Schizosaccharomyces pombe: one gene and its partners. The gene in region 3 interacts genetically with the main gene of each other region. Each region holds a gene or a part of one and is shown on either strand. Other genes may lie near its edges.

Region 1 (6,720 bases), 1.2 Mb from region 3:
GAAATTTAATGAGCAAACTAGTAATGATAGTTAGTATATTTACGAGACGAAAGCCCGTTAAAAATATAATGAGGTATAGTGATCATATAGTTATATCGCTAACGAGTGATTGCAACGAAGCTTCGATTATCTATTTACTTAGACCTTCCGTTTTTTACCATTTATGCTTTAATAAAACTAATAACAATTCTCTTGCATTTTTTGGAAACTTTTTTATTTAGTTTGGAAGCTTTTAAGTCAATATTTTACAGACCGTTAAACAAAGGAAATATACTATTCATCTCTGCGCGTCATGAATGAAGAAGAGACAAACTTCGTTGGAATTGCGGATTTACCTAATCAGCGTCACAAAATAGTTTCACGAAATGGTGTAGCTTTCACTTTGATGCTTTGTGGAGAGTCGGGTCTTGGTAAAACAACATTTTGTAATACACTCTTTTCAACAACAATTAAATCACATATGGGCCCGGAAAAGGTTCGTGCGAAGCATGCTGAGAAAACGGTCGAAATAGAGATTACAAAAGCTGAGTTAGAAGAAAAAAATTTCCACTTAAGGTTGACAGTAATTGATACCCCTGGTTTTGGGGATTTTATCAATAATTCAGGATGTTGGGAGTCGGTAGTTGAATTTATAGAAGACCAGCATGAATCGTACATGAGACAAGATCAGCAGCCAGATCGTCGTAAGATCATTGATATGCGTATTCATGCTTGCCTATATTTTTTGCGTCCCGTAAGAAATGGTGTTCGGCCTATGGATTTGGAGGCTATGAAACATATTTCTAAGCGTGTCAATTTAATTCCTGTCATAGCTAAAGCCGATATGTATACTCGAAGGGATTTAGCTCTGTATAAAACTAGAATTTCTCAAGTTTTAGAATACCATCAAGTCAATGTTTATAAACCTAATATGGATGAGGGCGATCCCGTTTTTCACAGACAAATTCAAGGAATCATTAATTGCATGCCATTCGCGATTGTTGGAAGCGAAGATGACATCCGTACTCCTGATGGTAGGGTCGTTAAGGGTAGAGAATACCCATGGGGAATTGTTGAAATTGAGAACGAAGAACACTGCGACTTTAAACAGCTTAGGAATATTTTAATTCGGAGTTGTATGCTTGATTTGATTCAAACTACTGAAGAAAAGTTGTATGAGCAATATCGACAAGAGCAGATGAAAGTTCGCCAGTATGGAGAACCTAAACTGCGGACTATTGATAATGCGAAATTTAAGGAAGAAGAAGAAAATTTGAGAAAAAGATTTACAGAACAAGTGCGCGTAGAAGAAACTCGATTTCGACAATGGGAACAACGCTTGATTGCCGAACGCGACTCATTAAATAAAGATTTGGAAGCTCAGCATGTTCAAATAAAACAAATTGAACTTGAAATCGAACGACTAAAGGCGGCTACCAGCTCTCGCAAACGTTAGAGATAATGTTAAAATATAACGAAACTTGATACCCAATTATCATTTGGGTTTGTTTGCTAGTGAACCATACTATCATCTTTTATGGTCCTTCATTTCTAATACATAATGTCAAACGTCTATCTTGCCTCCCGTATAAATTACATTCTTTAGACAATCAATTAACTATATGATTTTATTTTATTTTTTCTATGCCTTTATACACTCTTTTATTGTGGTTTTATTCAACGTATAGTACATATGCTTTCATAAGTTGCTCAATTTTTATATAATTTTGATATCGAATAAATTTTCTGTATCTTATAAAATTTCTTGCATAAGTACTTAAAATTTCTCGTTTTGTGTCTTTCTGAAATAAAATTGTGCAATGTGTGTTTATAGTCAATGCTTAATAATATGTTACAAATATTTAGCTACATGACAATATGATCTTTCATTGCCTTGAGAATGGCTTTCAAAATTGTTTCTATAAATGTGAAGTAAACTATTTAGTTAAGCAATACAAATGCCTAAAAAATATTTGATAGTTTTTTGGAATTCCTAATTTGTATTATGCGAATTTCTACATCATCTTCCCTTTTGTTTTCTGTAAAAATGATTATTTGGAGTATTGTTGATGCGTGTGTTTGAGTGCACGAGGCTTTGTTTATTTCATAATAGGTCAGCCCACGCAGTGTCTTGGTTGTCTTTTTCCAACAATTAGCTGAAAAGCGCAAAAGGTCCAAACAGCACCTAATAGATTTTAGAAGTATTTAAAAAAGGTGATTTATTTAAAAAATTGATTTAAAGCATAAGATTGTCGTAATCATGGAACATGGCCTCTCGCCAAGGCTTCAGCAATGTGAATGAAGATGAACCCGAGTTGCCCCCTTCGGTTTTATCATTGAAATCAAAGTTCGAGTCATTGAGTACCGGTGACCTAACTAATTTGGACGAAAAAACTGCTAAAAGAAGAACTGTAAAAGGTTGTAAAAATGGCACTTCTGAGCCAAACGTTTTTAAAGCAAGACCTATTCCACCGCCGAGGCAAGTCTCATCGACTATAGGAAGTTCGACTGGACGAAAAGTTAGTGGTTCAATTCAAAGGCTAGCTTCTAATTTTAAAAATCCTTCAAACCCCCACGCTGATGTTTCAAAAATAGATCGTCTACCTAGTGATTCTTCTGAATCTCACGTAGCTACTCCATCTTCTCCTACTATATCTAATTCATTTGTTTCTGTTTCTCCATTACTTAAGCGACCTCAACAAAAAGGGCCTGAAATTTCTTTTCAATCATCTGTACAATCTACCAAAGGAAATGATCTAATGAAACACGATGATACCAATAATCATCAAATACCACCCCCTAAACCCAATTTTTCTTCGAAAGCAGGTTCTTCAAGCCCGATATCTGTATCTCCATTAAAAAATGTTAAGGCATATATTTCTCAGTCTCCAACTCACTCCGAAGCCTCTTCGGTTCTGTCTTCTGAAGAAGAAGAAGAAAACGTTATCAATTCTAGTAAAAGTGTGCCCTCCTTTGATTTGCATGATCCATTTAGCCAGACCTTTGGAAAGGAGTGTCCCATATCGACGGCGCCTCCTGTTTTGAACATTGGAGACAGGTCTTTGGAAACTCCTCCTCCAATTCCCTCTCCAAGACCTCCACAGCCAGTTGCTGTTGAGGCTATACAGCAATCGCGTGCGGTAATATCTCAACAATTACCGCTTCATGTATCTCCCCGAAAGCCCCCAAAACCACCGCTGCGTAAAGTTTCTACCCAGCGCTCTTCTTCCCCAATAGAGAATTTGGCTACTAAAAGTGACGCCAGTCTTGTTACTGGTTTACAGTCGTCTCCCTACACTCATATTGCTCCTGCATCAGAGATGTCTTTAATACCTGAGAAACCCAGATTACCTCCCCGTCCTAGTCACACTTTATCAGAACTGTCTAGTCCAGCTTTAACATCTGAAAACTTATCTTCTAAACCATCCCCTTTGTTTCCTCCACCACCACCGAGGGTGAAATCCTTAGCTACTAACAAACCTGTCTCTATGCCTGTTTCTACTGAGCAAAGTGATCCTTCTGTTGCTGCTAGTTCCTCTTCGTCATCGCAATTAGATGTTGTTTTAAAAGGAAGCATACCAGATACTTCTAGCGTTAGGAGGAACCCGCCCTGTTTTGTTAACGGTGTTGAATCAATTAACGTAGATTTTGAAGCTAGAATCTTTGATGTTAGTGGTGATCGCCTTGTTTTAGCTGGAAACGGAGGACTTCGTGTTTATGACACCGTTACTGGTCTTTGTCATTGGCATATGCCTCTAGGGGATACGAAGGTAACGTCCTTATCATTTAAATCATCCCCGGAGAATTACTCTGACGATGGCAGATTTGTTTGGTTTGGAACGAGAGATGGGATGTTATGGGAAGTCGATGTTCAAAATCATCATATCGTTACTAAGAAGTCTGTTTCCAATTGTCCTATTACTTACGTTATGGTCTATAAAAATGAAATGTGGACGTTGGACGATATGGGAAAACTGTATGTATGGCAGGAAGATGAAATTATGGGTTTAAGTATACAGTCTACTCCACATAGTATTCGCACCATTCCTCATGCCACTCATGCTATGGTTTTAGATAATCGGCTTTTATGGGTTGTTGTTGGGAAATCAATTTATGTATATGATCCTTCAACTTCAGAAAATGAGTCGGCAAGTGTTTTGGCGAAGCCCATGACTCCACCTGGTTTGATAGGTGATATCTCTTGTGGCACTACTATTTCAAACTTTACGGATTTGGTCTTCTATGGTCACGTTGATGGAAAAATATCCATCTTTTCGAAAACCCAATACCGTTTTTTGGAGCTAATTACTAGCAGTTCATTCTATAGAATTTGTTCACTAGTTGGTGTTGGAAATACACTTTGGGCAGCCTACACGACAGGCATGATTTACGTATTTGATGTTTCTGAGAGTCCTTGGCGCCTCTTAAAAAGTTGGCATGGTCATAAAGCAAGTCACAATGGAGCTACCACTATACTTGGTATTGATGTGAATAGCGTATGGAAAGCTAAAAGGCTCCAAGTTGTTAGTATGGCTTCTTCAGTTGTCAAGTTTTGGGATGGTTTAATGATGGGTGACTGGTTAGCTACCGAAATGCGAAGCCGCTTCCCAGAATATAGTAATTTTACTGACGTGTCTATACTTATTTGTTCCTGGAATGCCGGAGCTTCAAAGCCATCTGATCTAGATAGTGATACTATTGGAGCTAGTATGATTCCAATGATGATTCGAGACAATGGATACCCAGATATAGTTGTGTTTGGTTTTCAAGAGCTAGTTGATTTGGAGAATAAAAGACTCACAGCTAGAAGCATCCTTTCAAAGTCGAGCTCCAAAGGTGGTTCGTCTAACAGTGCTAATATTTCCAGTCAGTATCGTTTATGGCGTGAAAAATTAGAATCTGAAATGATGCGGGTAAGCTCAAACGATGATTATCAGGTTTTGGTATGTGAAAATTTGGTTGGTCTTTTCTCATGTGTTTTTGTAAAAAATAAGTTACAAAGCAAAATTCGGATGTTACAATCGACAACTGTAAAAACGGGACTAGGTGGTTTGCATGGTAACAAAGGTGCAATAGTCGTTCGCTTTCTGGTAGATGATACTTCATATTGCATAGTAAACTGTCATTTGGCTGCTGGTCAATCCAATAAAGCAGCCAGAAATAATGATTTGGCAACAATTTTAGACAATGCTTCTCTTTTTCCTGAAAATGATGAAACTGATCAATTGAATACATTCGTTGGTGGTGGCGATGGCTCTTTAATTATGGATCACGAAGTTTGTGTTTTGCATGGTGATTTAAATTATAGAATCAACACATTGAGACCTAAAGCTTTAGATTTAATTAAAAAAAACGACATAAAAACTTTGCTCCAAAGCGATCAGCTTCTTGTTGAGCGAAAAAGAAATGCCGGATTTCGTCTGAGAACATTTACTGAACCAGAAATCACGTTTGCCCCAACTTACAAGTACGACGTTCATAGTGAGCAGTACGACAGTAGTGAAAAAAAGCGTGTGCCTGCCTGGTGTGATCGTATCTGTTATCGTGGAAGTCCCGACTACATCTCTGCAGAAAACTATACCAGGTACGAACTGAAGGCATCAGATCACCGACCAGTATCTGCTTTAATACATTCCAAAGCGAAGATGGTAAATGCGCAATCTCAGGGGTCCACATGGGACGTGGTCAAACGAAAGTGGATTGAGTATGCTGATGAATTTAAGAGAAAGGCTAAGTATGTTTTTTTTTGGAGAATTTTGCTAACCAACCAGAATAACCTATGTCATGAATTATACTTCTGTGTCTTATCAAACGGCTGAACAATATTTGTCTGGAAATAACTGGAATGTACAAAATGCTTTAAAGCAAGTGTCAAGTTGATTTCGAATAGTTCTCGTTTGGATGTGTTTATATATATTATGTAGATTAAATTATAGTAGAATATGCCATTATAAGTTCATTTAAATACAAAATTGTGAATGCTGTAAACAGGTTGTTTACGAGTTTTTAGTAAGCTATCCATTTAGACTTCTTCTTTTCTCAGTTTCTTCAAGCCACCGTGAAAATAGTAGTTGTGATATGGGGCTCCGCTTTTGCTTTTTGTGATGCAGTCTGTTGTCTGGAGTAATTTGGTTAACAAATTTTGAGGACAGATTTTTATCTAAAGAAATGAAAGATGTATAAAAAGATTCTAAAGATGAGCGCTGCGTTGCTGACAATTTATCATTTAATAACATCGATCGTATGGTGGACTTAATATAATGTTTCATAGCAAAATCGGAAGTCAACGATTTATGATAAGAGCTACCTTTTTCAGACAATGACTTGGAAAAAGGATGCGGTGTCGCTTGATCACTCATTATAGTTTTCTCTAAATATTTTATTGATGAAGGCAATTCCTCTTTATTTTGTGAACTGATGATGGAATTTTTAGGAATGCTAGTATTCCCTAACACAGTTGAGTCAGATTTCTTTACAGTTTCAAATGTCCAATCCTCAATGTCAGCATTTCCTTCAGCAATTGGTTCTTCAAAGGGCTTTAAAGTATTATTTATGGTTTCTTCCAATACACTTTGATCCGAATCATCAAATAATTTATTCTCCTTCTGAACAAGCAAAGGAATAATGTCTTTCACAGTTCCTGCGCTTTTGATGAATGGGTGTTGAAGGAGTTCTTTAGCTGACCATCGCATATTAGGATTGAGATCTAAGCAGCAGGACACAAAATCACGGAATGTTGGA
Region 2 (6,582 bases), on a different chromosome or scaffold from region 3:
TGTTTTTCTTTCACTCTCTGGACACCATGAAAGCTGGAAATCCAAAAATTTTTGCTGCGATTGTGTCGAAGCATTATTTTGGGAGTCAGGCTCCTCAACTTTGGGTTTCTTCTCATCAGGATTTTCCTGCTTTACATTTTCAAAAACTTTTGTCTCTTGTGAATCCATGTTCTCCGATAAAATATGTCAATACTGATCTTCCGCCGGTGTTGGAAGGTAGCGAGTTAAGAAGCGCTCAGGTAAGAAAATATGCATTCAGCACATATGTCAAACGCCGACTATATTGCTAAAAAGTATTTACGAAAAGATCAAGGGAAAAAGAAAAAGAAGAAAGAGAAGGATTTTGTAGAAATTCAGGATGAAGATGTCGCTGGATGGGACGATGACAATTCATTTTCACTAGTCAACAGAGAACTCACATCTTTGCATGATGCCCCTACAATTGTCGCAAATGAAAGCCTTAAAGATCGAGATATTGATGCTATTTATCAGAATATAGAAAAAACTACTAATAAACCTGCTCAGTTGTGGAAAGCTGTGGGGAATGATGAAGTTGTCGAATCTGAACAACAGGATTCTCATGATGCTGAATCAATTCCTCAGTTCGGTCTGTTAACTGGAAAGCAGGTGACCTTTAAAGCTGAAGAAAGAAGAAAGAGAGAAGAGAAATCATCCAATCTTGATGAGGAAGAGCTTCGCAAAAGTCGCGAAACTGTTTACAGAGATGCCACAGGGAGAAGGATAGATCTGGTTCTTGCAAGAAAAGAAGCCAAAAGAAAATTAAAAGAGAAAGAGGAAGAAGCTAGAAGACAGAAGGAACAACAACAAGGTGTGGTTCAAGTGCGTCAACAGAAAGAATACCTAAAAGAACTTGAAAGGCAAAAAACGGTGCCATTGGCGCGTTATGAGGACGATCCTGAATACAATAAGGAATTGAAAGAAAGGTCTCGTTGGAATGACCCAGCTGCTTCGTTTCTCACTAATAAACCTGTATCATCAAAAGCTACTTATCAAGGATATGCGCCTCCCAATAGGTTTAATATACGACCTGGCCATCGTTGGGATGGAATTATTCGTGGTAATGGATTTGAAAATAAATGGTTTCAGCGCCAAAATGAGAGAAAGGCACAAGAACACGAGGCACATATGTGGGCAATTGAGGAGTAAGTAATCAGTTTTTGAATAAATCTCTAACGAAATCAGCATGTAAATATTTAACGATTTCATTATTTCTTCTGCTGAAAATGGAGGAGACTATTTGGTTTCATGTATATGATATTGTAATGCGAGTTGAACATAATCTCTTCTAGTTTACGAGTGTCAACCGAGGCACAATACTTGATTTTCCAGATTCTGTCCCATTTCCTTTAATTAACTAATGGCTTTGATATTTACCTACAAAAGCAAAACGCTTATAGCAAATAGCTTTATTGGGAAATCGCACACCACGAGACAATGGTAGCCTTATCTATACTAAAATATTTTTTGCTAGTTTATATATATTTATTTTTAAATTTCTGACGATTTCTTAATCCTATATTCAATTATGGGTCATTAAACGTATGAGTATGAGCGACCACGGCTGTTAGTAGTAAGAGGGTTTGAAATATCATCCATTCAGTTATTTCTCTAAATTCTGAACACTTTTTACCAATATTAAATATCATTTCCCTATTGCTGTCCCTAAGGGCCCAAATAATTCACTGCTGATTCTGTGAATTCATATGTATTGGCTTTTAAATGATAGTAAGAGCTAAACGAGAACAATCGATGTTTGAAAATAGTATTTTAAAATTTTTAATTTTATACTTTTTAAGCCCTTTCACATCCACATAGACAGACTTGACTTCACACTTGCTGTATACGTAAAGCAAAGCTTTTTGCATAAGAATTTGTAATTCCAACCGAGTACAAGGATGATTCAAATACTCTTTAACGTTTTACTGTTGACCTGTTTAGTATGAAATATTGTTTTTAACAATTAAGGTTCGGTGAACTCGGTGACTTCAATTTCCTTAGTTCACCGAGACAGATTCTCTCAAACGCATTGTGCTTGTTTACATCTTGACCATCGCCATGACGGTTGCGTCTGACGATTCACCAAAGGAAGCTAGAGGCATACCTTTTTTAGATCAAAAGTCTCGTAAACTTGCTAATGAGTTGTTGGAACCATGTCTTCCGTTTATCCAGTTCAATTTGGGTGAGATTGAACAACGCGCAAAACATTACTTGAACACCGTTCCTACTAGTAAGGATGGTAATACAAAAGCGTAAGTTATTTGTATCCTATTAGATATATTTGTCTAATGAACGATATAGCCATTATTTGCTTGCTGGAAGCGGTATTAATGCCGAACAAACATGGAAGAAAATTGAGTCGCTCTCTCTACAAGTAAGACCTCCCACTACTCTCGAGTTGTCCTTTACCGATGTAGATATGTTTTTGAAGTATCATCGAGAAAAAAATGTTTTAAATTCTTTGGAAGCATTGGTACAAAACACCCAAATAGCGTTCGATCAATATTTGGAAGAGGAATGGCGTTCCAAAGCTGCAAAAAGCAGACCCTCCTTTGATAATATTTTACTTGAAAATAAAAAGAGAGTATCCTTTTATCCTTTCTCGGTGCAACGTTCGCAGAAGTTTGCTTCCACTTTAAAAATGTGTCTTGAGGAGGAAGCACTGCACGGATTTCAATCAAAGCTTGTCAGTTCTTTTTGTGAGGTTGCAAGAGAATTTGCTCATGATACAAAGTCTCTTCTCCTTTACGAATCCTGGAAGTTACTTTCCTCTGTTATATTGGATAAGGATTCTGTGACAGTGTTTGGCAATAAAGGCATAATCTCAAAAGCCTTTGACATTGAGACTGAGGATGGCTCGGTTAACTCTCGGTTCTATCAAAGGATTTCTGACTGTTCCCGTAAGTTCCTTGAAGCTCAATTTTTTGAAGTTTTGAATAAGGAAATTGCAAAAACCCCCCAGGCTGCTTTGGTAGGCGGTGTTCCTTCAATACGTAACAAAATTCGAGCGTATTTGAACATTCGTCTATTAAGGAACGGTGTTTGGATTAATCCAGATTTAGAAATAATCCAAGATGTTCCTATATGGGCTTTCATATTCTATCTATTACGATGTGGTTTTTTAAAGGAAGCAGTGGACTTTACTGAAGAAAACAGAGATCTTTTTGAAAAGGTGGCTGAGAAATTTCCTTTTTATATCAATGCTTATGCGAAGGCTCCGAATGGTATTTTACCAAGGCAACTTCGGAGTCAATTGTTTTCTGAGTTTAATCAAACCATTCGTCTACAGGAATCTTCTGATCCTTATAAGTATGCAGTATACAAAATAATTGGACGCTGCGACCTTTCTAAAACTTCGTGTCCATCGATTTGTTCTGTCACTGAAGATTACATCTGGTTCCAGTTAATTTTGTCACGTGAATTTACTGAAAAAAGCGTTTCCGCTCACGAATTTTTTTCATTGGAAGATGTTCAACATATTTTGCTTTCGTATGGCTCCGATTATTTTACTAACAACGGATCTAATCCCGTTATGTACTTCTTTTTGTTAATGCTTTGTGGTCTTTACGAGCGTGCCATTAATTTTTTATATCCTTATTTTCCAACCGATGCAGTCCATTTTGCCATTACTTGCGCATACTACGGTCTGTTGCGCACTGCACCTTCTAGCTCAGTTGTCAGTAATGAACCTGGAAAGATTCAATCAATGCTGGTTGAAACAAAATCTGGGAAGCCTTCCCTTGAATTCGATCGGTTGTTAATCGATTATACCCAAACTTGTCAAGAATTAAGTCCTGTAATGTCTGCCTGTTATCTTATACCAATGTGCAAAATTGATAAATATATCTCGATGTGTCATAAATCTCTGTGCAGTTTGGTACTTTCTACTCGTGATTATGTTAATCTTCTTGGCGATATACGTGGTGATGGCGAGAGGACTCCTTCCTTTTTGGAGAATCACAGGTCTTTGATTGGTCTTTCTTCTGTAAAAGAATACTTATCAAAAATCACTCTTACTGCTGCTAAACAGGCTGATGATCAGGGATTATTATCTGATGCCATTCTTTTATATCATTTAGCTGAGGATTACGATGCGGCAGTAACAGTTATAAATAGACGGCTGGGCTCTGCATTGCTAAGGTTTTTGGACCAGTTTGTTTTTCCCGATAAACTTATATCTTTAACTAAAAGTATGATGGATGTATACAACAGAAACCCTTCTTTGTATGCCAAAGTGGATTACAAAAATCGCGAGACGACGAATTTGCTTTTATTGACTGTGGAGGCGTTCAATGCATATACCAATAAAGACTATGAACAAGCTTTATCGTCTTTACAGCAGTTAGAAATTTTACCCCTTGACCCACTTGACTCAGACTGTGAAACTTTTGTTGTGAGAAAACTTGCAAAAGAATTTCGATTTCTCAATGAAAATTTATTACAAAACGTACCTGGTATTGTTTTAATAGCCATGAACAGCCTTAAAGAACTTTATGCTAAACAAAAATCTTCATCTTTTGGAAATGACGCTATATCCGTGGATAAGTTACGCCTATATAGACAAAAAGCACGAAGAATTGTCATGTACAGTTTCCTGATAGAATATCGTATGCCTTCTCAAATTCTTGAACAGTTAAATCGCTGCGAAATAGAAATGACATGATTATTTTTTTAAGGTTGTTTATTCTATGTTTACTTGACTTCACTAAATTTTTATGCCTATACATTCATTGAGTCCTAATTATCCATCATTAAAAAAGTGTTGAATGCACTAGTCTTCATGTTAATAATAATAGCAATAAAGAGTGATCTTTGGTTTATCGTGCTAATTTCTAAACATCTCAGAGACACTTTTCCATTTAGTTTGTAGCTGAGCATGTTTTTCCTTGAGGTCATTTAGCTGCTTTAAAGTCTTTCCAAGTTCCTCATCAAGATATTGTATTTGTTGAATTGAAGTAGCATTGTTTTTAAGAAATTTTTGATTGCGCTGCTTAAGGATTGAGATTTCTTGAAGAAGCCTATTTTCCAATTCCTGAGGCTGTTTCTCTAATTGAGCTTTCAGATCAGCAGAATTATTTTTTAAAATTTCTGTAGCCTCCTCCATTTCGCTTCTTGTTACTCGATGGTTGGAAAGTGCTTCAGAAAGTTTAGTGTTTTCCTTATTCAACATAACCATTCCCTCCTCTAAATTAGTTATCTGAGAGGTTAAATAATCATTTTGATTTTTAAGTTCCTCTAAGTTATTTTGGCGATAGGTGTTGTGAGATACGGAGGTTTCGTGATATGAAAGATAGGATGGGAACTGAGTAGTATCGATGTTTAGAGCAAGTGAATCTTCAACCCATGCATTTAAGTCGACAGGAGTTCTTGTGTAAAATGTATACTTTTGGACCAGAGGCTGCCGATATGAAGCTAAAACGTCTGAGCGTAAATACTTAACCCACTGTTCATGAGAAACCATATTTACAATCTTGTCCCGATCCTTTAAAAAAATAGCAACAAGAAGACGCACAAACATTTCCAAGCCGTAGATAGCAATTAAATCCATAAGGCGGAGTGCTTCGGGTAATTGCAACGAATCGGCAAAGCAGCATGCTAATGATGGATATAGTATACACAATGAACTAACTTTTATACGTTGTAATGAGATAGCGACACTTGGTGCCAAGTCACCCAAACAACCCCAAACCAAAGCGAAAAGACTTTCGTCAAGAGAACTGGATTGGGATATGAAAAACTCACGAATTCCACCTCTTTGAATGAAACAAACTAGCGAACGGAAGGCGTTTCCTTGAGCCATATACGATAGAAAAGCACAAGTTAACCATAGCAAAGGTTCAATGTTATACTCAACAGTTGTATCAAACAAAGTAAAAGCATGCAAAACGTGAAATATAGACTCAGTTGAAACTTTATGCCTTGTAGTAGAAGAATATTTAAAAGGCTCCAAAGGTCCTCTGAAAGATTGCATACGAATAATCTTCCGAATAGAAGAATCCAAAGAATTATTAGTAGTACTTAAAGTAGCGTAAAGTGTTAGAAGTTCATTACGTTCAGCGGAAACAAGGGATTGCCAGACCAGTTTTCGACACGGAGATGGAATACAAAAGTTATTTTGTTTAATTAGTTCTAAAATCGGTGTCAAGGGAGGGGGAGAGGAGGATGTAGCATTGGGATTAGAAGGATCAGGCGGAAGGTCATAAGCAAAAAGAGGCACACTGGCCCATTGAAGCCAATCGATATTAGAAACGGGAATTGACTCTTTTTCACATTGTTGATTAAGCTCGAAAATGATTGATTGAATACGTGAATCGTTAATGGCGCTATTTAAATCGCCGTGAGACTTGTAGGAATCGCGTAATTGTTCAAATTCTGTTTGATTATTATTTATTTTGGAGGATGAAATATTGGTAGATGCAGTTGACATAAAGGATGGAACAGGGGAATGACCTTGAAGAGGTTGAATGTTAGGTTTTTCAACGGCCAAGCGATTATCGCTTTCCTGGGGAGGAGTGGGACGCAACATAGAAGAATCTATAAAATTAAGTTCCCGATCCTGTTCTT
Region 3 (3,619 bases):
GACTTTAAAATGGTTATGATATCAATGAAAACAACTTTATCATTGTTAACAACAAACTTACCATCCAAAATAGCTTTATCAGCATTTAAAAATGAAGATTTCAAAGCATTAACAAAATCGCCTTTCTGAAAATCAGGATTCTTTTCAAGAATCTGAGGAAGATTGCTTCCACACCATTTCGCGACTTTGTCTCCACCGTGGCCGTCATAAACCGCAAAAAAGTCGACCGGGTCTTTTACTGCAGAGCACTCCATTGAAAGTATAGCAGAATGAGCATCTTCCATTGAGATACGCCATCCTTGCATGCTTGAAAGTCCATAAAGGACGAACTCATTGCTCCCGTTCACCGAGTGCTTCTCGGTGACTGGCTCTGATAATGTCTGACCCATTGACAGCTCTTGCTAATAGATGACACAAATTTTCACGTTTTCTTTTTGTGTCGCTTCAAAACGGGTTATGTAGTAGTGATAGGTAAATCGCTAGTAGGTGGTGGAGCTTGTCGGAGGGAGTGTTGTGGCACCCTCTACAACTACATCACCACCGTGGAGACGAACGATAGTTGTTAAAAGACTATGGAAGGTAACAAGATTAGCAGTAGTCAAGGCATATATGTAAACAACAGAATAAATGGTATCAAGGACTAAATACTTATAAATTTCAAATGTTCATTAAAAAACATGTGTAAACATAGCATATCCTATAAATTGATTTTTCAATGGTTTGCATTTTACTATGACTACAATAGAGACAAAAACAACGCTGAGTAGAATGCCCCAACAAATTCAGCAACTTGATTCAGAAAAAATTTCTATTAGGCAAAAATGATATTATTTTGATTCAATTAAAAATTCCATTGGATTTAATAAATGACCAAATAAATTCTACTTATTAGAAAGAAAATTGAAATAGAACTATTTGATAGGAGTAATAAATCTTAGCAATAGCAAGTAGGATAACAGTTTTATAACAACATCAACAATGAAGATATACATAACTTTGAAAAATAGCACAAGAAGCTAATCTTTACGTTGCTCACTTTTAGCAAGTCCTTCAGCTAAACCTGTATAGTAGCCCGCATAGTACCAGCTCATGATAAGCTTTTTGTAAGTCTCGTCTAAATCATTATGTTAATAATAGAGAGTCATAAATTTTCTTAGAAGACCTTTTACTTACCATATGTTAACCCTCTTATAGGGGGAGGAACTTCCATAAACTCTTGATGTGTCTCTGCTGCCCTTGTTTCAGGCTTTTCGTCGCTAAGGCCTTTATTATCTGCAAACTGTTGGATATGTGTATCTCCTTCCAATGTCGTCTCTGTTTGCTGATTTATCATCTGCTCACCTTCTTCTAGCTTACTTATTGATTCTTCTGTCCGTGCAGCTGAAATTAATTTTTCACCATCTAGCCTAGAATCCGGGTCCGATACTCCTCCCTTTGCTTCAATACTATGATACTTTTTGAATTCATGTAAAGCGGTTTCAAAGGCATTTCTGAGCTCTGAATCATCCCACACTTCTTTTTGGCTCTGGTCCATTTTTGGTACAAGTTGTAGATAATCTATTCCTGTATGTCTTTCTTTGTACCTTAAGAAAGCTTTATTAACAAGTAGTTTCCAACTTTGTTAACTCTTATATTAATTGAATATTATTAAAGTGAAAATATTGTTTATAAAGCACAACGCGTATAACGATAAACAGTTTGAGCTCGGCGATTCCGCTTACTACAACAATTATAATCTGCTGTGGTAACTTAGCTCCTTGCCTTAACTATCAGCCGCCTTAGTGGACAGGACTACAAGAATTCGAGGTCAAAGATATAACGAGGTTCGCACATGGCGATGTGAACTCGTGGAAGTATTGTGAAAGAATGTTTATTCCAATTCATCTTTGTTTACGATTTTGGCTTTATTATACCAAAAAGAAAAAGGAATTGTATAAGCTACAAAAATCAACCTAAATCAGTTATCTAATATCCACACGAATAATTCATTAAATGCTACATGCGCTAATATGGTTTAGCGAGGACTTCTCAGTAAGTTAGCTTTCTGGGATAGATTTTAAACTACCTAATTGAATTTAAGGTAGCTCCACGTAATTACGTTACATATTTTTATGCATCGTCATCTTAATTTACGTTAAGTACATATCGCATTCTGAAAGACCATGCGAATGGGTATTGGATGAGTATCGTTCTACTATCCCTCCTCTACATACATTCATATTTTAAAGATTTTCGTTCATGAAAAACTATCATAACATATTTCAATAGTGTATCTTTTGATAATTTCCTTTTTCCGTTACTTTTTACATGCATATAATACTTGGATAGATCAGATTTTTCTTGTTCTCGATTTTCTGAAACGATCGTTCATTCATTCCTCGATAATTTGACGAAAGGACCCTTAAGTTTGCTACTTTGCAATAATGGCTTTCAATGGATATGGTATTTTCGACAGTGATCCTAGAAAAAGTAAGTATACCTATCCTTCCCTCATTTGTAACAAAATTGCTAACGTTGTTTGAATCTTCGATCTGCGGGTGTTAATTCCTACAGATTCGAGATTCATCGCTGAAAACAGATCCATCGAGCGATTTAAGAACTCAATTTTGGCTCGCCTTTTTACTTGGAGCCTCTGCATGCGTATTCTTTTGCTTCTTTCGTAAAAGATGGAAAGTACTATATGCCCCTAGAACTACCATTGAAGGTCTCAATTTACCTACACTTTCTTCATCGTACTACAAATGGTTAATGGATTTAGTAAACATCCCTGATGATGTAGTGCAAAATTGTGCTGGTTTGGACGGCTACGTTTTTTTATTGTTTTTTAAAATGGGTATAAAATTCCTTTCTTTTGCTTCCCTGCTTGGCGTTTTGATTATTATGCCCGTCAATAAGCATTTTCGTGGAGATGCATTCGGGAATATTACTTTGTCGATGCCTGCCAAATCTGAATATTTCTTCTCAAGTCCACTTGTCAAGAAGTCAATTGTACAATCTCCTATTATTGCTAATGGTAGTGAGTTAAATGTTGGTGTGTTAGGACCTTCTTTATTTAATCCAATTGGTAATTTATCTGATATACCAGGTCTTCCACAGCCTGGTGATGGATTTCTCTATCTTTACGTTCTTTTTACTTACTTTATTTCCATTTTTCTTCTTTATGTTCTTTTTTCCTCAACAAAATCGATTGCTGACATTCGTCAATCATATCTGGCTCGTCAAAATAGATTGACGGACAGAACCGTTTTTATATCTGGTTTACCTAATGAACTTTGTTCAACGGAAAATTTAAAAGCATATTTTGATAAATTAGATGTGGGTTCTATAGACAGTTTAAGTATATGCCGAAATTACTCATACATGGATATATTACTGTCTAAAAAAAGTAAATACGTCAAGAAATTAGAAAAATATTGGTCTATCTATTTAAGTAACTGCAAAAAGCTTGGAATTTCCACTTTACCTCCTTCGAATTATCTTAGTCCAAACAGAGCAGAACTTGAATCAACACCAGAACAACTTTTGGAGGTTCCTTGGCAACATCATCAATGCCATCCGTTAATAAAAACTCATTTTTTTGGTATTTTTGGTCAAAAGATTGACGCAATCGATTTTTATT
Region 4 (4,904 bases), on a different chromosome or scaffold from region 3:
ACGTTAGCAAACGAGTCAGAATTATAAACATCATCTGCGTACAAAAAACGCAGAGGTATAGCGGACAAGCATCCAGGTGTATTTGGCTCATCTAAGAACATTAAATCATAAGTTACCTGGAATATAACCAACTCACAAGACGATAATGCGAAGAGCAAACTTGGTTCTCCATTAGAGAAAACCAATTGTCTCACTGGTTGTGAGAATTTCCATATTGGATCCTCAGCAAACTCAAAAGCCGATACATTCAAGTAAAATGGGAATTCTTCAAAAGTTGCAGTATTTTGTAATGTCGGAGATGCACGAAAAATCCATGGAGACGAGAGGCATAAAAAGAGGAGATTTTCCGCAGTTTCATTGCTAATCTTGCTACAAGCAAGACATTCAGTTGTGGTGTATCTGTTTTTATCTGATGGCGCTGTTTTACCCAAGCAAAAAGTATTTAAAATATGTGGATTATATATAGACTCAGCAGAAGAAGCTAATTGAGACTCTTTCGCTAGTGTAGAAAATAAATTTCGCGGAACATATCTGCAAACACTTAAACCAAATGAACTACTAGTCGCTTTACGCGTGGAATTGGTGGCCTCAGCAGGAAGCTCAGTTAATTTAGGGAGTTTGTAGTTTGGATTTAAAGATAAGATATCCCATCTTTTGTCCAAGTCAACAAGCTCGACGCCCGTATAGGAGTCATACCTAGCAAAAGTCCATTCATTATTTTCAACCTTCTCCGCTCTGTGATAGCCAGATGGATTTAAAAGTTGACACGCCCCTATAATTCCATAATCCAAACTTACACTAGGTTTTTTACTAATTGCATCAATAGGCCATGTTGACATGAAGATAATTAGAAAAATAAAATTAGATTGAATTGTGTTTACAAAAACACATCTAACGACAATACAAGAGCAACCTAGCGACAAAGCAAGTAATCAGTGTTTCAAGGAAGCAATGCTGGAGTAATTTCACCTATAGTTAAGAACTTGACTTTATTGTTATACTATAATATATTTAAAGTGCTATCTTTAAACCATTATATAATTATATAAAATATAACTCCTACCGACTACATGCTTTCAATTGAACAATTTATTGATTTATGTTAACTGAGAATTTCTCTTTACTAGAAAAAGATGAAGTTTAAAAGTAATACTTAAATTAGTCATAAGACAGTGTTCAAGTAGGAGAGGAGTTCTTCTCCGAAGTCTCTAAGCTGCTATCAATTACATGTAGATTAACACAGCAACAAAACAATCTCCTTTACAATGAAATGCAAACGCTTACGATTTTGGAATGATTTAGCAATAGATAAATTGGTTTACGAATGTTGCATTAGCCCAGTTTTCCCTTTTCATAAAAAATACGTAAGGAGGTGCTGATACCTGAGGAAGAGTGCAATATTCAGATTAGCAAGTGTTTTGAATTCTCTTTAGTGTCCGCTTAACCAATTTTATCGATATGTTTATAATTTTGTAAAGTCAATAAGTTAGTTCAGCCTGTTATTTGTAAGTAATTTATTGTATGCAACGTCTAAAGGAGCTTGATACATTTTAACGTACCATTAAATATATTTAGACTTAAAAGCATCTTTCAAGTAATGTCAAGAAACCTAAAAAGACCGCTCGGCGACTTACATTCTAGCAAAACGTTGATTAAAAGAATGGCAATTAAGCTAGCTTCTACAAATATTTAGACTTTTAATAAAATGAAAATTAATTTTTCTTGCACAGAAACCCATACAAGTAAAGTTTATTAGTTAAAAAAAATGAAAGCTTCTGCAATGAACTTTCATTTTACGAACTTAATAAATATTTACACCGTATTGTTTACATTTAAATTTGTTACTTTAAGGTAGTTTTGATATATCTTCTTAAGCATTACGTCTTATGAAAATGTTATTATTTGGGTTGTAGTTCATCATTATATATATTGTGCATCGTACCACCGTGTGATTCTGGCTTTGTTTTCCCACATATTTTAGGTCTAACTAACACATATTTAATTAATTACTCTTTTTTACTAAAAGGACTCTGCTTGGTCGTTGTATACTTTGTATGCATCGCTTCTTTTGGTGAATTTTTTAATTCTTTGCAATCGCAGCAGAGAGAAAATAATTGTAATGAATTCGATTGCTAGGCTATCAGATGAAATTAATAAAGCAATCCTTGCCACTCCTTTAGACGACGATGAAGCTGACAAAGAAAAACTTGCTAATGCTCGGGGGCGAGCTTCATCAGCTACTTTGAGGCATTATAATCGTCGTAGATCGTCTTATTCGGCGTCCAGCCTTAGCAGTTTGTCATCAAAACCGACGGAAAAGGAAGTTCCTACAAGGAATGAAAAACCGAAGCATGCCAACATTATGCGTGTTGTCGTCTACTGGATTCGTGTGTTCCTGAAACGAATTTATACGTTTTTCGTTCATTCCGCTCGTGTATTTTTGTACCACTTTTTGAATGAAGAGAAAGAGTTTACCCTTGCAAGTTTTTTTTGGGGTCTATGCCGGTTTGTCTTTTTTCCTGTATTATTATCGTATAAACGCCGAGAGATGCTTCCCCCTCAGCCAAGTGTCCGCCGTCCTAGGTTTTATTCTTCTTATTCTTACCCATCCTCTCACCAGGATCCTGCCTATTCATCTTTCAAACGACATAGATCTTCTAATTCTTATAGCAGTTCTTCTAATGGAAATCATGTTCGTTTTCAGCCCTCTATTGCAGAAGAAGAAATTTCTTTCAATTCTTTTTCAAATTCATTGAATTCAGAAGAAGATGTGTGTGTTTCTCCTATGAAACCCAAAGAGGTCTCCCTAATGGGAAAAGCAAATTCCAATCGTTCAGGACATTCGCATCAACCTCAATCAACTCAGTTTTCCCCGCCTGCTAATGACAATATTTCTAAGCTGCCTTCCTCCTTTACGATAGTTAATGATCCTCTTAAATCTCCTTCTTCTTCCCGTCTCCGTATTAGAAACATTACTCTGTGTGCGGACAAAATACCGAGGCCTTTGTTGAATAGCAAGTTACCGAGAAAGACCCTTGTATTAGATTTGGATGAAACACTTATCCATTCCGTGTCTCGTGGTAGTCGAACGACTTCTGGACAGCCAATTGAAGTACATGTGCCTGGTGAACATCCAATCCTTTACTATATTCACAAAAGGCCTCATCTTGACTACTTTTTATCAAATGTGAGTCAATGGTTTCGCCTTATTTTGTTCACAGCATCTGTCCAGCCATATGCTGATCCAATAATTGATTATTTGGAGCGTGATAAAAAAATATTTGCTAAACGATACTACCGTCAACACTGTGCACTTGTCGATAGTTCTTTCGTTAAAGATATTTCCATTTGTAATATTCATCTTTCACGGATCATGATAATTGATAATTCTCCAGCCAGTTACAATGCTCATAAAGAAAATGCCATACCTATTGAAGGTTGGATTAGCGACCCCTCTGACGTTGATTTACTAAACTTACTTTCTTTTCTTCATGCACTGCAATATGTTCATGATGTGCGAGATCTTTTGGGGCTTCGTCTCGCAAAATAAGTGCTTTTCATGATTCCTTTTTTTTTTCGTGAGTAATTTACTCGTTATTTATCACCAGTAACGATGGTCTAAAATAACTTTTTCTACTGCATTAACATCTTGGGTGCCTTTCCTTTCTCATCATCAAACTTCTTTGTTATAACCTCAAAAGGGTACCTTTTGGATATTTCCTAGACCGCATTTGGGCCATTCCAGTTAAATAATTTTTGTTTCTTTTTGCTGATAATATGTCAATTAATGTAAGCCTAATCGTAAGAAATTCTTTCTAATAAACTAAACGCATGTTTTAAGAAAGATTAGTTTCTGCACTGATGTTCGCAGCAATTACGAAGGCAACTTACTTATGAAATTTCTTTCTAAATCAAGCTTTTAATAAACATGTTTATTCTATTTAAGTGTTGATTCTTTTTTTTTTACTTTTCAATCTGTTATTACAATCAACTTACTTAATCAGGATGGGCAAAGGATTATAAATGATTTAATGATTATAAACCAGATTACATAGACTTTTAGCATTTTAAAATCATATCACTAGGCTAACGACATTGTTCTAGCAAATAACATAACCCAAAACCACATTATTATTATATGTATCTAATAACACGAAAATTCAAAAAACCTAATATATGCAGAATTAATAGTTGAATCAATACCAACCACCACTTCTATTGAAGTTTAATACTTTTAACTAAACCAGCTTTAATACCAGTCTGCTCACCAGCATAGCCGCCCTGTGGTGCGCCCTTGTAAATAGCCTTTTTGCTGGCTAATTTCTTCTTAGCTTTTTCGTAGCGCATACGCTTTTTAAGTCGAGGATTTCTATTTTCTTTAGGTCGACGGGGAGTTAATCCTCTATTTTTAGCAATGTCTAAAGTAATTCCACGCTTATCACCTTCACCTAATTCAATTAGTTCTGGGTGCCTTGAAGCTCTTATTAAATCACGTTCGAGATCGTGATTTTCTTTACGGAGCTTTTTAGCCATCTTTGATTTTTTATCGAGAGACTCGTAATAATCCAAATCATCTTGATCTTCAACTTCACGATCGACATTTGCAGGTATGCCCATTGATTCCGGATCTTCATCATCAAGATCAGCACCAGCATCCTGATTTCGACCCCTGGCTGCAGCTTCTCTCATCAATCGCTGCTGGCGTTCAAATCTTCGTTCTTTGTATGGCATGTCCAAATCACCTGATAACTCCAGTACCGCTCTGGAACGCTTAGCTGCCTTTTGGTCAATTTGATTAGCATAAAACTTTAAAGAGCGTTTCCTAGCAATCTTGTCTTCAGCATCAACATCGTCCAATCTGTTGCCTTCACCATAGTCATCGAGATTTTTAATATTAGTATTAA

What was found.
Region 1: of smn1 (region 3) and inp53, a mutation in one rescues a mutant of the other (synthetic rescue), as found in Schizosaccharomyces pombe (one study listed by BioGRID).
Region 2: of smn1 (region 3) and nup97, a mutation in one rescues a mutant of the other (synthetic rescue), as found in Schizosaccharomyces pombe (one study listed by BioGRID).
Region 4: mutations in smn1 (region 3) and nem1 impair growth when combined (synthetic growth defect), as found in Schizosaccharomyces pombe (one study listed by BioGRID).

What each region holds. Positions count from the first base shown.
Region 1 is NC_003424.3:1,986,502-1,993,221, reverse strand, and holds inp53 (inositol polyphosphate phosphatase), read left to right. Parts: upstream 1-2,116; 5' UTR 2,117-2,246; coding exon 2,247-5,713; exon of another isoform or gene 5,714-5,750; coding exon 5,751-5,859; 3' UTR 5,860-5,964; downstream 5,965-6,720. Other genes in the region: mitotic septin Spn4, read left to right, coding at 293-1,435; PAK-like GC kinase Sid1, read right to left, coding at 5,994-6,720.
Region 2 is NC_003421.2:2,162,956-2,169,537, forward strand, and holds nup97 (nuclear pore complex component nup97), read left to right. Parts: upstream 1-2,065; 5' UTR 2,066-2,076; coding exon 2,077-2,270; exon of another isoform or gene 2,271-2,319; coding exon 2,320-4,681; 3' UTR 4,682-4,843; downstream 4,844-6,582. Other genes in the region: transcription factor TFIIF complex alpha subunit Tfg1, read right to left, coding at 1-168; protein Cwf26, read left to right, coding at 265-1,163, 1,204-1,210; SPOM_SPCC1620.12C (GTPase-activating protein), read right to left, coding at 4,844-6,582. UniProt on the Schizosaccharomyces pombe protein: Has a role in meiosis.
Region 3 is NC_003424.3:821,316-824,934, forward strand, and holds smn1 (SMN complex subunit Smn1/Gem1), read right to left. Parts: upstream 1,640-3,619; 5' UTR 1,535-1,639; coding exon 1,174-1,534; exon of another isoform or gene 1,115-1,173; coding exon 1,017-1,114; 3' UTR 777-1,016; downstream 1-776. Other genes in the region: protein phosphatase PP2C catalytic subunit Ptc3, read right to left, coding at 62-389; SPOM_SPAC2G11.09 (Ca(2+) transporter), read left to right, coding at 2,424-2,469, 2,579-3,619. UniProt on the Schizosaccharomyces pombe protein: The SMN complex catalyzes the assembly of small nuclear ribonucleoproteins (snRNPs), the building blocks of the spliceosome, and thereby plays an important role in the splicing of cellular pre-mRNAs.
Region 4 is NC_003423.3:3,371,346-3,376,249, forward strand, and holds nem1 (Nem1-Spo7 phosphatase complex catalytic subunit Nem1), read left to right. Parts: upstream 1-1,956; 5' UTR 1,957-2,119; coding exon 2,120-3,550; 3' UTR 3,551-4,207; downstream 4,208-4,904. Other genes in the region: RNA polymerase I transcription factor subunit Rrn6, read right to left, coding at 1-839; U3 snoRNP-associated protein Utp3, read right to left, coding at 4,216-4,904. UniProt on the Schizosaccharomyces pombe protein: Catalytic component of the nem1-spo7 complex which acts as a phosphatase and may be required for proper nuclear membrane morphology.